Linked DNA regions of Caenorhabditis elegans. The protein of the gene in region 2 interacts with the protein of the main gene of each other region in a pairwise test. Each region holds a gene or a part of one and is shown on either strand. Other genes may lie near its edges.

Evidence for each region.
Region 1: the proteins of ZK1053.3 (region 2) and png-1 interact in a two-hybrid assay, tested with the Caenorhabditis elegans proteins (one large-scale study listed by BioGRID).

Annotation. Positions count from the first base shown.
Region 1 is NC_003279.8:11,377,103-11,384,390, reverse strand, and holds the start of png-1 (Peptide-N(4)-(N-acetyl-beta-glucosaminyl)asparagine amidase), read right to left. Parts: upstream 4,161-7,288; 5' UTR 4,154-4,160; coding exon 4,103-4,153; intron 3,881-4,102; coding exon 3,736-3,880; intron 3,147-3,735; coding exon 2,826-3,146; intron 2,770-2,825; exon of another isoform or gene 2,699-2,769; intron 1,465-2,698; coding exon 1,242-1,464; intron 307-1,241; coding exon 27-306; intron 1-26. Other genes in the region: wbp-4 (U1-type domain-containing protein), read right to left, coding at 4,326-4,391, 4,929-5,260, 6,564-6,855. UniProt on the Caenorhabditis elegans protein: Specifically deglycosylates the denatured form of N-linked glycoproteins in the cytoplasm and assists their proteasome-mediated degradation. Cleaves the beta-aspartyl-glucosamine (GlcNAc) of the glycan and the amide side chain of Asn, converting Asn to Asp.
Region 2 is NC_003279.8:13,243,736-13,251,116, reverse strand, and holds ZK1053.3 (LisH domain-containing protein), read right to left. Parts: upstream 4,265-7,381; coding exon 3,926-4,264; intron 3,881-3,925; coding exon 3,662-3,880; intron 3,615-3,661; coding exon 3,249-3,614; intron 2,951-3,248; coding exon 2,788-2,950; intron 2,737-2,787; coding exon 1,436-2,736; 3' UTR 1,339-1,435; downstream 1-1,338. Other genes in the region: ZK1053.4 (SET domain-containing protein), read right to left, coding at 6,510-6,565, 6,621-7,381.

The sequences.
Region 1 (7,288 bases), 1.9 Mb from region 2:
TCTCAAAAAATCAATAATTTCTGTACCAATTTTTTGGAATCCCAAATATATCTCCAAGTGACGTCAACCACATGATCACTACCGTATCCAATACAGTAACCCAGTGTCTTTCCCCATCCACGGGTATACAGTAACGGTCGATCCATAGTATTTTCACAAGGATCCACGTGGCACCAACGTTGCTCGGCGAGCAAATAGACCTCATTCCATACGTGATCAGTTGTATCGTAGATGAAGCGAGATTCCAGATTAAGAGCGGCAAGCAGAAGCCCGAAACAATTGGCCCATTCACCGCAGCGGCCCGTTCTGCAAAAAAAATCGATAATTTTTATTGATTTTTTTGTTGTGGAAAATTCGGTAAAATTATCGACTTTTTGATGAAATTATTGATTTTTTGTTGAAATTATTGATTTTTCGATGAAAATATTGATTTTTTGTTGAAATTATCGACTTTTTGATGAAATTATTGATTTTTTGATGAAATTATTGATTTTTTGATGAAATTATCGATTTTTTGATGAAGTTATCGATTTTTTGTGGAAATTATTGATTTTTGTTAAAATAATTGATTTTTCGATGAAATTATTGATTTTTCGATGAAATTATTGATTTTTCGATGAAATTATTGATTTTTCGATGAAATTATTGATTTTTCGATGAAATTATTGATTTTTCGATGAAATTATAGATTTTTTGAAGAAATTATAGATTTTTTGAAGAAATTGTCGATTTCTGGACGAAAAAAACCGAAATTTTAAATTTTTGACAAAAATTATCCGGGGGCCTAGTTTTCCAGATTTTCTAGGCCACCAATCTAGTACCCCGAAAATTTCAAATTCGTAATCAGCCCGTCGAGAGCTTTTATTTAACACCCATCATGACTAGTTTTTTTGAAAATTCGCAAAAAATTTTGGGTCTCGCCACGAAAAATTGGAAACCTACAGTAAACCAGGCAAAATTGGTACCGTTTTGAAGATCTAGTTAAGCTCAGTTCAGATTATTGATTAGATTTCAAAAATATCGATTTTTCGCCGAGTTATGGCTGGTTAAAGTTGATGGCCTAGAAACCCGTGAGGAAAATCCCAGGCCACCAACAAAAAATGGCCATAACTCGGCGGAAAATCAATATTTTTGGGATTTTCAAAATCCAATCGATAGGGAATTTCATGGGCTATCCTATGGATCGCCTAACTTTCGCAAATTTGCAATTTTTTTAGGCCACATTTTTCTAGGCTTCACACCTCGTCTGCAACAATTTCGCCGGATTATTATATCTCGGGAATCGCATTTCCGTATTACATCCATCACAAATGTAAACTTCAACACGTGAGGCTCCGCCCTCTTTTTGCTCTTCCCGAGTTGGAGTCCCTTGGAGCCCGTCGGTTGAGCATTTTAGGGTGCATTTGGGACATGTTGGACGGTCGAACCAAGTGAAAAATTGAGTTTTAAACCAGTGGAGAAGGTCTGAAAAATTGAAAAATTAGTTAAAACCCGCGCGAAAATTGAGTTTTTAAAGTCATGGCCTAACTTTTCAATTGGTGGCCTAGAAATCCAAAACTAGGCTATAAAGTGAATATATCAAATTATAGGCTTACTAGGCTTTCGCTGACATCAGATCATTTTTCAGAATTGAAAAATGTGAATTTTCCGCCGAGTTACGGCGATTTTAAGTTGGTGGCCGAGGATTTTCCTAGGCCACTAGTTTAAAAACATGTTAAATTGTCTTAAAATTTTTATTTTTGTATGGCGCAGAATTAGATTTGACATAAAGTATTGGAATTTACTGTAAAATAAGCGAAAATTTACGTCTTAAACTGATGGCCTAACTTTTTATTTGGTGGCCTAGAAATCCAAAACTAGGCCACGCACTCAATATATCAAATTATCGGCTTTTGTTGATATCAAATAACTTTTCAGAATTCAAAAATTCCAATTTTCAGCCGAGTTACTGTAAATTTAAGTTGGTGGCCTAGGAAACTCCTCGGCCACCAACTTAAAATCAACGTAACTTGATGGAAAATCGATATTTTCAAATGAAACATAATCCAAATGATGGGTGTTATCGAAGTTCGATGAAAATTTGGCGAAAAATCGACTTTTTATATTCGTGGCCTAACTTTTTCCGGCGGTGGCCTAGAAATCTAAACCGAGGAAACACTGAATGTATCAAATTTGTATGTTTGATTGACTCGTGCTGATGTCAAATCACTTTTCAGAATTGAAAAAAGTGAATTTTCCGCCAAGTTACGGTGAATTAAGGTTGGTGGCCTAGGAGTTTCCTAGGCCACCAACCAAAAAACGCTGTAACTCGGTGGAAAATCGATATTCTTAAATGAAATAAAATCAAACTGGTACAGGAAGTACAGGAATTCCGCAAAAAATCGACTTTTCAATGTTATGGCCTAACTTTTTCTGGCGGTGGCCTAGAAACCCAAACCTAGGCCATGTACTGAAAGTATTAATTTTATCTTTCCTTTCTTCTTTTTCAACTCGTGCTGATATCACAAAATTATTCAGAATTCAAAAATTCCAATTTTTCGCCGAGTCACGGTGAATTGAAGTTGGTGGCCTAGGAAAATCCTCGGCCACGAACTTAAAAACGCTGTAACTTCGCGGAAAATTGATATTTTCAAATGGACTAAAAACCAAAAGCCATCCGATAGGAAATTTCGAAGTCTATCTGAAGTTTGAGGTAGTGTGGCCTAGGTTTGGATTTCTAGGCCACAAACTAAAAATCGGCTATAACTCGGCTGAAAATCAACATTTTCGCGATCCGAAAAAACCAATCGATAGGGAATTCGATTTTCTCGATTTTCTTCTTGCACCTTTCAAAATCGCCTTCTCATCCCTCGGCCCCTCGGTCATGGCTCTTCCCACCAGCTCCTCAGGCATAACACTTCTCGCCAGAGCCTTGAACACCTCATCCTGATAGCTTCTCGGTACGTTCGAACATTTGACAAATTGCTCCAAAAATCGCTTTTCCGAGTCAGAAGCCGCGTTGGGATTTGCCGGAGTTGGCGAATAGTGTTGCCGAATTTTTTCGGCAATTGCCTGCTGATTGGCTCCGCGGACCATGTCGACTTGCTGGCGATTTTTCAAAAAAATGAATGTCGGCATTGCGGAGATGTTGTACCGCTGGACAATGTCTGAAAAAACGCAAAAATCGATTGGTGGCCTAGTTTTTCAGTTGGTGGCCTAGAAAAAACTAGGCCACCGATTTATCAGACTAAAGAGTTGAGTTTTTAATTTCCTATCGATTACTTTTTGTTGCATTCAAAAATATTGATTTTCCGGCGATTTATGGCGGTTTTAAGTTGGTGGCCTAGAAACCTTCTAGGATTTTTCTAGGCCACCAATATAAAATAGCTGTAACTTGACGAAAAATCAATATTTTTGAATTTTCAAAGAAAAGTATTCGAGCATTAGCAAATTTTTTAAAGCTTTTAGAAAACATACAAAAACGCCTTCAAAAAAATTTTCGTGGTGGGACCCAGAAATTTTTCCGAATTTTTTTTAATTTCAAAATCGTCCAAACCTAGGCATGATGGGTGTCAACTGAAAGGTCTCGGCGAGCTGAACACGAACATTATAAATTTAGGGCCTAGTTTTCAACTTGGCGGCCTAGAAATTGGAAAAACGAGGCCACCACCAACTTAAAATCGTCGTAACTCGCGGCGGAAAATCGACATTTTTGAATCCGAAAAAACAAGATTTCGTGGCGGGACCCATTTTTACCTCTTGCCACGTCACAATTGACCTTTAAAAACGTGGCATTTCCGTATTCCGCGGAAAATTGCTCGAAAATCGGAGAAATCATACGGCACGGGCCACACCAATTAGCGAAAAAATCGATAATTATGAGACGATTCGCATCGGAACGCTGGAAATTGGAAATTAAAAAAATTAAAAATTAAAAATTTTTTTGCAGAATTTTATTGATTTTTTTTCAGAATTTTTTCGATTTTTTTTCAGAAATTTATCGATATTTTTTCAAAACTTTATTGATTTTTTTACAGAATTTTCATCGATTTTTTTCTAAAATTTTATTGACTTTTTAAAATAAAATTTTATTGATTTTTTCAAAGAAAAATGTCCTGCTCACCTCCAAAATATTATTGAGCTCTGGCAGTGAGCCAACTTCCGTTACCGGCATTTTTCGACTGAAAAATAAATTTTTAGCCAATTTTTTGCGCTAAAAACTTGAAAAAGGTATAATTGACATATTTACAAGTGACCAAATAAACTTTAAAAAAAAAGTTTTCTCGAAAAATCAATAATGTATTCAGATATTACAGGGAATAAGTGACAAGAAAAAAAAAATTAAATTATTCCTCTCGTTTTCGAATATTCCGATTTGCTGTCTTTTTCTTGAATTCGATCGGTCCTTTTACCTGAAAAAAGGGAATTTTTTTAGTGAGAAAAAAATCTAATGAAAAATCGTCGAATTATTACTTTTCCAGCGGGAAAAATATTGTTTTTTCGTGATTTTCCAAAAAAAATTTTTTCAGAATTTTATCGATTTTTTTGCCTAGAATTTTATTAATTCAAAAAACATAATTTTGTCGATTTTTCAGTAAATTATCAATTTTTTTCGGGAAAATATCGATTTTTCTGATAATTTTAACGATTTTTTTAGTAAAAAAATTTTCTTTTTCAACTAAAAAAAGTTTTAAAGGAAATTTTATTCGTTTCCAAAATGAAAATTTTAAATTTTTAAATTTTTCCGGCTCAAAAAAACCAATTTTCAGTGATTTTCAACCTTATGAAGCTCAAAAAGCTTTTCAGCTCCAAATTTTCAAGGAGAAGCTCAATTTCAGACGTTTCTTCATGGTATTTTCAAGCTTTTCCGTCTTAAAAAAAGCCTATTTTTATCGTTTTCCAAGAAGCTTTTTAGCTCCAAATTTCGAGGAGATGCTCAATTTCAGCACCTTTTTCGTCATAACACTGGCAGTTTTTTCTCCAAATTCAAATTTCGGTTCTTCTTGTCTCTTTTTCTCTTCTTCCTCCTTCCGTTCTTCTTCTTCTTCACGGAATCGTGCAGTTAGTGGAGATTCGAATATTTCCGTCGTTTTTTCACTTTTTTCGACACGTTGCCATGCTCCAAATGGTGCTCCAGGTGTTGTTGGAATTGATGGTTTTGGGGGCTCAATGAGCCCAATTTCTGGGATTTTTGGGGGCTCTTCAAGCTGCTCTTGGAGCTCCTCGGGAGGCGGAGTTGATGAGTGCTCGCGGAGCACCAGGGCTTCACGTTCTGGTGTTCCTGGAACAATTGAATTTTTTAAAGAATTTTATCGATTTTTAAAAGAATTTTTATCCAAAAAAATACAACTTTTGCCGAAAATTTCACGGTTTTTATGGGATTTTTGCGTGTTTTTTTCTAATTTTTTCGCATTTTCAGTCCGTAATTCGTAGGTTTTTTTTTGGTAATTTTCCAGCCAAAATTCAGCGTTTTATAGCGATTTTTTTGTAGAATTTCTGTCTAAAATATGCAATTTCCAGCCAAATTTCGGCGTTTTTCATCAAATTTTCATGATTTCTCGGGTTTTTTTCAGTCATTATTCGAGCTTTTCTTGTAGAATTTGAATTTTATCGATTTTTCCAAAATGTTTTCACATTTTCTGCCCAAAATTCAGCGTTTTAAAGCGATTTTTTGGTGAAATTTCAACCAAAAATGTGCAATTTTAAGCCAAAATTCAATTTCATCGAAGTTTTGCAATTTTTAGGGCTTTTTCATCGATTTTTCATCGATTTTTGGTCTTTTTCAAATTTTTATTGGTTTTTTTTTTTGAAATTCTACCGATTTTTGCAGAATTTTCACCTCAAAAATATGATTTTCGGCCAAAATTCGCCGAATTTTCAGTGTTTTTTTCAAATTTTTGCACATTTTCAGTCCAAAATTCGTAGGGTTTTTGGGTAATTTTCCAGCCAAAATTAAGCGTTTTATAGCGATTTTTGGCGAAATTTCAACCGAAAATGTGCAATTTTCAGTCAAATTTCGGGGTTTTTCAGCTCAATTTCATCGAAGTTTTGCAATTTTTAGGGCTTTCTCATCGATTTTTCAAGATTTTTGGTCTTTTTCAGCCATTTTTCGAGATTTCAGTGGTGAATTTGGCCATTTCCATCATTTTTCCGTCTTTTATCAATTTTTGAAAATAATTTTATTTTTCAAAATTTTTATAGGTTTTTTTTTCGAAATTTTATACATAAATTCAGTGTTTTTTCAGAATTTTAATCCAAAAAATACAAGTTTTGGCGAAAATTTCACAATTTTCATGTGGATTTTTGCTGAATTTTCAGTGTTTTTTTTTTCAAATTTTTGCACATTTTTAGTCCAAACTTCGTAGGTTTTTTGGTAATGTTTCAGAGAAAATTCAGCCAAAATTCGGCGTTTTATAGCAAATTTTGTAAAATTTCCGTTAAAAATGTGCAATTTTAAGCCAATTTTCGTCGAAATTTTAATTTTTATTAATTTTCAGGGCTTTTCCATCGATTTTTCATGATTTTCGGTCGTTTTTTCGAGCTTTTCGTGTTGAATTTGAGCATTTCCATCCTTTTTTCCGTACCAATAATCTCAAATTCCTCTTCATCTTCATCACTTTCTTCATCTGAAACATCTTCGTCTTCTTCTGCCTCTCTGCGTCTCTCCTCATCCTCTGCTCTCTCGGTGTCTTTTTGTCTGCGTCTCTCTTCCCACTGTGCTTTTTTCTCCTCTTTTGTCAATTTTTTGAATTTATTATTTGGTTTATCCACATAATTCTGCTCTTTCCGGTTGGCTTCTACTTGCTCCGAGAGCCCACTTTTTGAGATTTGAGCTTTTATGTATGATTCTACGTCGGTTTTTCCACTTCGAACAGCCTGAAATTTCGGTTTTTTGGGTGAAAAGTGACAAAAAAAATTATCGATTTTTTTGCAGAATTTTATTGATTTTTTTACAGAATTTTATTGATTTTTCTGGAATTTTATCGATTTTTTCCAGAATTTTATTGATTTTTTCAAAACTTTTTTTTTCAGAATTTTATCGATTTTTTTAACAGAATTTTTTGGATTTTTTCTTAGAATTTTATTGATTTTTTCTGGAATTTTATCGATTTTTTTGAAGAATTTTATTGATTTTTTAAACAGAATTTTATTAATTTTTTTCTAAAATTTTATTGATTTTCCACGAAAAACTCGACTTTTTCCTGAAAAATAGCGTTATTTTTGGGATTTTCAGACTATTTTTAACGAAATTTTTTAGAAAAACATGAGAAAATGGTGGAAATCCAAAATTTCAAGTTATTTCCGTACA
Region 2 (7,381 bases):
CAGCAACAAGACCACAATCTCCAACTTTTCTTTGGAACACCTCGTACGCGGTGAAAGTCAATGGATCATAAACTGACAAACTGGATGACACGTCGGCGAAAGGTACGGCTAATCGACGTCAGATTTTCGGGTAAAACCAAGTTTTCCAACTCTGAAAATTTGTTAGAATTCGTTAATTTACAGGAAGCGGGGATAGCACACGAAGAAACTATGTATTCGAACGTCAGGAATGATGCTCAAAATATTAAAAAATGCTATTGAACAAACCTCATATTTCCCATATGAGGTCCTAATCCTCTTCAAAAGTCATATAAGACTTGGGCTCATGTGGAAACTCTTTATCTACAAATGTAGATTTTGTCTTTCTGAAAATGCAATTTATTGCATAGAAACGTTTAAAAGACCCTTACTCGCAATATTCCATAATCTGCTTGAACTTTTCGTTCGATTCTTTTTTATTGGAATGATTTTCGATAACTAGCATACCTAATTCCTCATACTCTTCTTCTTTTTCTTCTTTTTCTTCTTTTTCGATTTCTTCGTCATTGTCGTTTTCATCTTCTCTATCCGAGAAAACCACATCATCTAGAGAGCACATCTTGTTTTAAATGTAGAAATGACTAATAATTTTTTTTTGAACTGAGTGTAAAAATTTTTTTCTTCATTTTCCACGTTCTCAAAAAAATAAATCGAACTCCACGAATAAATTTTAAATTTTTTTTTCGAAGTTCGGCAATCCTACAATATGACCTATTGCACCATATTGTCCCAAAATGTTCAATTAAAAATTAATTTCAGACTATAGAAAATCACTTGATTTATCCGAAAATAACATTTATTTCAGCCGGAAATCTTAAGGCAATTTATAACTTTGAGCATTTTTCAATTCGTATGATCTGAAATTAAGTTAGTTTTCAGATTATTCAAGTATTTCTCTATATTTTGACATTAACTTTTAATGAAAAATATTAGAACTACATGGCGCAGTAGACAATTTTGTAGATACTAATAGTACCAATTTTGAATGGCATAGACCAAATACCAAAGTAAAAAGTTGATGATATTATATCGAATCGTATCTCCACGTGATGTCCAAGTGTCTCACTTCGGTTTGATCTACGTAGATCTACAAAAAATGCGGGGTAAAAGACTCAACTGATTCTCAACTGATTTCGCATGGTTAAGAACGTGCTGACGTCACATTTTTTTGGCAAAAAATTCCCGCATTTTTTGTAGCTCAAACTATAGTGGGACAGCCTAGCACCACGTGTATCTAGAATAAATCCTGTCTATAAAACTGGGTATTTTTTTAAAAAACAGTTCAATTGGTTCAACTTTAACTTTATTTGGGCTTTGAAACAAATATTGAAACGCATTGAAAATTAGATAAAAGGTAGAAAAATTGAGCAAAATTAAAGATCACAATCCAGTAAGCTTATGGAGACGCGGAAACCATGTCTGGAATTTCGATATGCTCGAAACTATCCGAATCCGAATCCACGCGACGCTTGTTCTTCTTCTTCTCCAATTCTTGCACAGTGAAAGTATTCACTTCAACTTCGGGAATCGCCACAAACTTCTTCAGATTATCGCAGAATTTTTCCTTCTTGAACCTCCCATCTTTGTCTCTTGTGATAACTGTTGACAAGTAGTTCACAGTTACAAAAACGTTCGAAGTATGATCCTTGGAAGGATCATAGAGGAACTGTGGATAGTAAACTTGGCGGAATCCTTGGGTCATCGAATCATAAATATACTGCTCCATTCGTTCTGTGAACAAGTTCTCCGTGTGAATCACAAACTCATTGGTTTCCGGACAGTGCTCTGCATACTTTGGAACCAAGTGATCTTCCGATGTGGCGTCTTTGCATTTTGAGCATTTAAATGGCTCGAACCGGTGGTATGTTGGATGATAATCATACTTCTCATACTGACCAAGATTGTTTGAACGAACGTAGAGCACATCTTTTCGGGAGAGGGGACAATGTCGCACTTTGAACATTGGTAGAGTACTTATGAAGGTTTTGTTGTATGAGATTTGTTCGGATTCGTGTTCAGACTCAGATTCAGATTCTGAATCAGATTCTGATTCCACTTCGGATTCTGAACCAGACTCACTAGAGCTGTCATAAGCATCCTGCATCTCAATTTCTTCTGCGGACAATTGTTGAACAGGGACAGCGGGAATCTCCACGTGATTCTCACCAACTAACTGCAGCTTTACAACTCCGGGATCTGCTTCCTTGATAACTACGTGCTCACTTCCATTTGTGAGCAGCACTGGTTCTTCAGGTCCATTTTTTCCTCTATAGGTGACTTCAATGCATGAACAGTACACTTCTTTGAATCCTTTTGTTTCGAATGAAAATACATACTGTTCCAGTCGTCCATTAACTCTATTATACATTAAGAGCACTTGGTCCTCAATATGTGAGCACCATTTTGTCTGACGCAGAGATAAATCACACTCTTGAACTTCAACTTCACAAATCTCACACTTGTGTCGTCGGAAATCCTTCAAATTGTGATCATACGTGCAGAATTCGCGGCATTTCCATTCGTCGATAGTCTCAATAACTTCGATTTCTTTCGATAAGCAATAACGAATTGAAATTTTCTGAATGACTGCTGGTAATTTAGGACCTATTCTGTCTGATCTTGGGAAGTGGCTTGATATTGGGTACTGGCCAAGCGGGTTGAGATTGTAATATTCCATCCAGTCGTTTTTTCTTTGATCTGTATTTTTGGAACTGGGTTTTTATAATTTCCAATTTTCAAACTACGTACCTGGAATACTTGGAGCGTTTGAGTTAATCATTAGTGATTGGACATCTGCTGGATTGTGTGGATTCCCAGTTGATAAGCTTTTAGTGACAAGCTCAAAGCTCATTGAGATAATTTCATCAACTTCTTTCAACATCTTCTGTTGAAGGGCAAGTTCTTGGAGAATCTGAAATTTGAAAAGTTTAATCATGTGATGAGATCTTAGAACTAGAACTAGTCCAGGGCTGTAGGAAAACCGTGATTTTGGTAACCGGCAACCAAATTGGTCAAACATATAATTTTGTTGAAATGGTCGGTTTTTCGTTTACATAGAAATTTTAGCATTTTTCTGGCTCTCTGAATGTTTTTTTCTGAGGTAAAAAGTGTTTGACATTGATAGCGACAGTTGCCGAAATTGCCGAACCCCAAAATTGTCAGCAACCATTCATAAAATTTCAAAATCTCTTTTTCGGCACAAAACCAACCTTAAGACGCTGTCGGCTCGTTGATTCGAGTTGTGGGTCGATCATTAATGGCTGCAGTTCCAAAACTTTCTCTGACTCCGCCTCCCAAAATTCATCCTGAGTATCCTTCTCTGGATTTTGCATATGCTTTGCAGAAAAATACAGTTCGTTAACTGATAATCTTGTGGTTTTAAGCTTTGACATTACATCCATTAGTTCAACATATGTCGTTGCTTTGACCATTTGTGTGTAGATATTCGAGTATTCAGATGTAATTGTTCTAAACTCTAGAGGAGCAAATGGTTTCTCTTCGGGAAGAGAACTGCCGTTACGAAGTCGTTCAAAAACCATACTAAACTTGAAACATTTGTTGTTCTCTCGGATTTTCTGAAATTATGAGCTTTTAGAATAATTGCGGTTCAAATTGAGCTTACCTTATTGATTTTCTGGCTATACATGAATTCTTCTTGCTTGATAGACTCAGCATCGCATTTAGGTTCACATTTAACTTGTTCAATTACATCATAAATGATGTATGCAGATTCCGATGGATCGAGAAGTCGTGTTAGCATTTCAACACCTACACCAGGAAACTTTTTGAGAATGAGCTCGATAAGAGCTTGTGCTTGAGTTTTACGTTTTTTTCCAGGAGCCTGAAAATTTTCAAAATATACAAAAGAGCTAATTAATGAACATACCAGTTGTAGAAGGAGCTCCTTGCTACTTATAAAATATTTACAAAATTCCCAATCTTCCTGTGACAGTTTTTTAGATTTCTGCTCCCAAACAGATTTTTGAATGTCCTCAGGCGTAAAACTTTTTTTCGACATACAATGATTCAAATATGACAACATAAGGATCGGAGCAAGGTTTGGAGGACGGTCTTGGTCTGAAGTTCCAGCCGCATTGTTAGGAGCCGCTGGAGCTGATGCTTCGCCAGTTTCATTCCCAGTCGCAGTATTGGAGAAGTAACTGTCCAGTTGCTGAACAAGTCTCTCTTCGGTACCTGGAGGGTTTGGAGTGTTAGAGTCCGACATTGGCGCCTGAAAAAATGGTCTAAGTGAGTTTCATTGTGGAATGTAAAAAGGATGAGAAAAGTGTTGAAAGTTGTAAAAATCTAATTTTCTGAGGGCCCTCGAGCTATAATATGGTATGTCTTAAATATGACGTCATGAGAATTGGAGCAAGACTTGGAAGTGGATCCGACTCGTTGGTTTGAATTGTGAGAGCAGGAACTTCGACATTTTCATTTCTAGCTGGAGTGTTGAGAAAGTATCTGTCTAGTATCTCAACAAGCCTGCGTTTACGGTCAGAACGTCTAAGGTTTGGGAGGTCCGGCATAGTTGTCTGAAAATAAATTCTACATAATATAAGAGAAGCTGGGGAACGAAAAGAGCTGAGAAAAGATTAAAGGAAAGACTGACTCTGAAGGAAATATTATGTGTCCCCGCAAGACACCGCAAAAAACACAAAATCTTCCCTTTGGTTCGATTTAGAGATAAAGCAGAAATAACAAAAGCGGTTCAAATTATTTTAGTCGAAAATAACAAAATTTTGGCCGACTGTAAACGTTTTTCCTACTTGCAAAATTCTACGTATTTTCATTCATTTGGCTCAGAATACTTGGAAAACAATAAAATAAGCCATAGAAAGTCTCGAATAAAGTGAATTTCCATCTGCTGTTTGGCCGTTGAGTCGGTCGTCTACGGTTGTTCAGCCGCTTTTTGTTTGCCAATCAGCCATGTGCGGCTTTCCAGTAGCTGCTTTCGGAGCACATCGCTTAACGTGAGCCGTAAGAGATTACTAATATAATAAAAGAGAGATAAATTGAATTTTTAAATCTAGAAAGGCCTAAATTTTGTTTTTTTTAAGTTAAAGGAGACCGTCGGGACTTTATCAATTTTTCAAAATTTCAAAAAGAGGTAAAAAATTAATTTCAAATGTTTATACCTACAAAAACTAAAAACGCATATGTACTCGGCAATTCCCGGCAGCTTCTTTCCCAAGTTTGGGCCTTTTCAGCTTCTTACCAAACTCTTGCCAACTTCTAACCCAGCGTATGCCCAAGTCTTACCCAACTTCAACAATTCTAGTGTAAACTCCCTCGCCCGAGTCTTGCCCAAGTCTTAGCCAAGTCTTGCCAACTTCTTACCCAAGTTTGCAGATGTAAAGAACGAACAAGATTCCGAAATCCCGCATGCGCAATGTTTAGCGTAAATCGACACTTTGTCTTTTGATTAATTTGTATTTAAAATAGAGGAATTTCAATGTAATTGAAAGAATTCACAGGAAAACTTGTCCCTTCAAAGGCAAATTCTAAATATTTTTCTCTGATGGCTAACATTGTTTAAAAAAATGTACGATCAAAGTTTGATTTTTATTGCCATTTTGTCTAATAAACCATTTAATTCATCTAAAAATAAAAAGAAAAGTTATCTTCAGGATGATTCTTCTCCTAGTCAGTCCAATAGTCAAATAATAGTCAGTCAATCCTATGCATCAAATTTTGAATTTTTCTAAGACTGAACTGTTCCTTTGAAATGTAAACTTTTATAAAATTGAAAGACATGAAACAAACATGAATTACAGTAATTCTGTAAATTCTGAACTTAGAATCATTAGGGAGCACACTTGAAAACATATGAAATAAGGTATGTGAGAATACCGTATCAATCAGATATGTCTGATACTTCCTCAAAAATATCTATCAGAATATGAGTACGATATATTATTACTAGTGTGCATCTTTTCGCGCGACCATCATGGCTCAGCAGGTAATTCTTCGGAACAACAGGAAATGCGATCAAAGTTCAACACACAGGTATAAATTGGGTAAGAAATAGGCAAAACTTGGGTAAGACTTGGGTAAGACTTGGGCGACGCCTCCAAACGACGAGGCAGACCACGACTTTTTTCATTTTTGTGGCGGCGCCCAACTCTTGCCCAAGGTTTACCCAAGTCTTGGCAACTCCTTATAAATGTTTTTATTTTTTGGGCAAGGCTTGGGTAAGAAGTTGCGAAGCCTTGGGTAGGAAGCTGGCGGCAAACGCCGAGTACATTTTGTCCTCTTTCAAAAACATAGAATTGCTGATTTTTTGTTGTTCTCTTGAACAAAATTGTTGCGCAAAAATTCTGGCATAAAAACGTTGTTTTAGTACAAATCGACTGAAGGTATTTTATTGTAAAAAAGCAACGTTACAAAGAAAATTTCAGATATTAAAAGACAGAGAATGTTCGAATTTACAAATTTTTTTTTACAAATTACGAAAAAATAGAAGATTTTCAATCAATTTCAGATGGTGTCGGTTGTGGCGATGAAATCAATTGGTGATTTGTTTCTGAAAATTGGTCTTGTAATATTTCTAAAAATGATGTATAGTAACAATCACAAACCTGGAATAACCATTGCTTGAACAGAAGAACATTGTGACAAACTTGGAGTAAATCTTTGTGGCCAAGGAAGAAAAATCTCAACATTCGGCAGCAGATTCTTCATTTTCTTCTCAGCAATCTGCACGGCAAACGTTGCGACGGTAGTTTTCGGAAGCTTCACGAATTGCTTCTTCACCATACAAAACTGCTCTTTTCTCAGCTGTCCATCATCATCTCTCATAATTACTTCGACTCCCTGCATGGAATTTTGCTCTAGTATAAAGAAAATATTTCCCTCCTGTACTTTTTCCGAATCGTATACTAATCCTGGACAAGTGACTTGATGGAATCGCTTCTTCTCACAATCATATGCATATGTCTCCATTTTCTCTGTGAATTGGTTCTGGACGTGGATGATGTATTTGCAAGTTTTAGCACAATATTCGGAGTACTTTGGGATCAGATCATTTTCAGTGGTTCCAGTCTTGCAACAATCACATACATGCAAGTTCAGCTCGTTTTCATCGTCGTTCAACGAATATTTAAGGTACTGGCCGTTGGGTTGAAGCATGTAAAGGACATCCATCTCATAGGTTTGACAGTATTCTTTTTTATAGGTGGGAAGTGAGGTTATGTAGGATACGTGCTCAGCATCCAATGTCTCCTCAGGTTCAGCGTCAGATTCCGGTTCAACGTCTTCTTCCACGGGTTCTTCAGCTTTTTGCATCCATAATGGTCTGACAGGAGCATACGGGATTTGAACCGAGTGCCCGAACTTATGA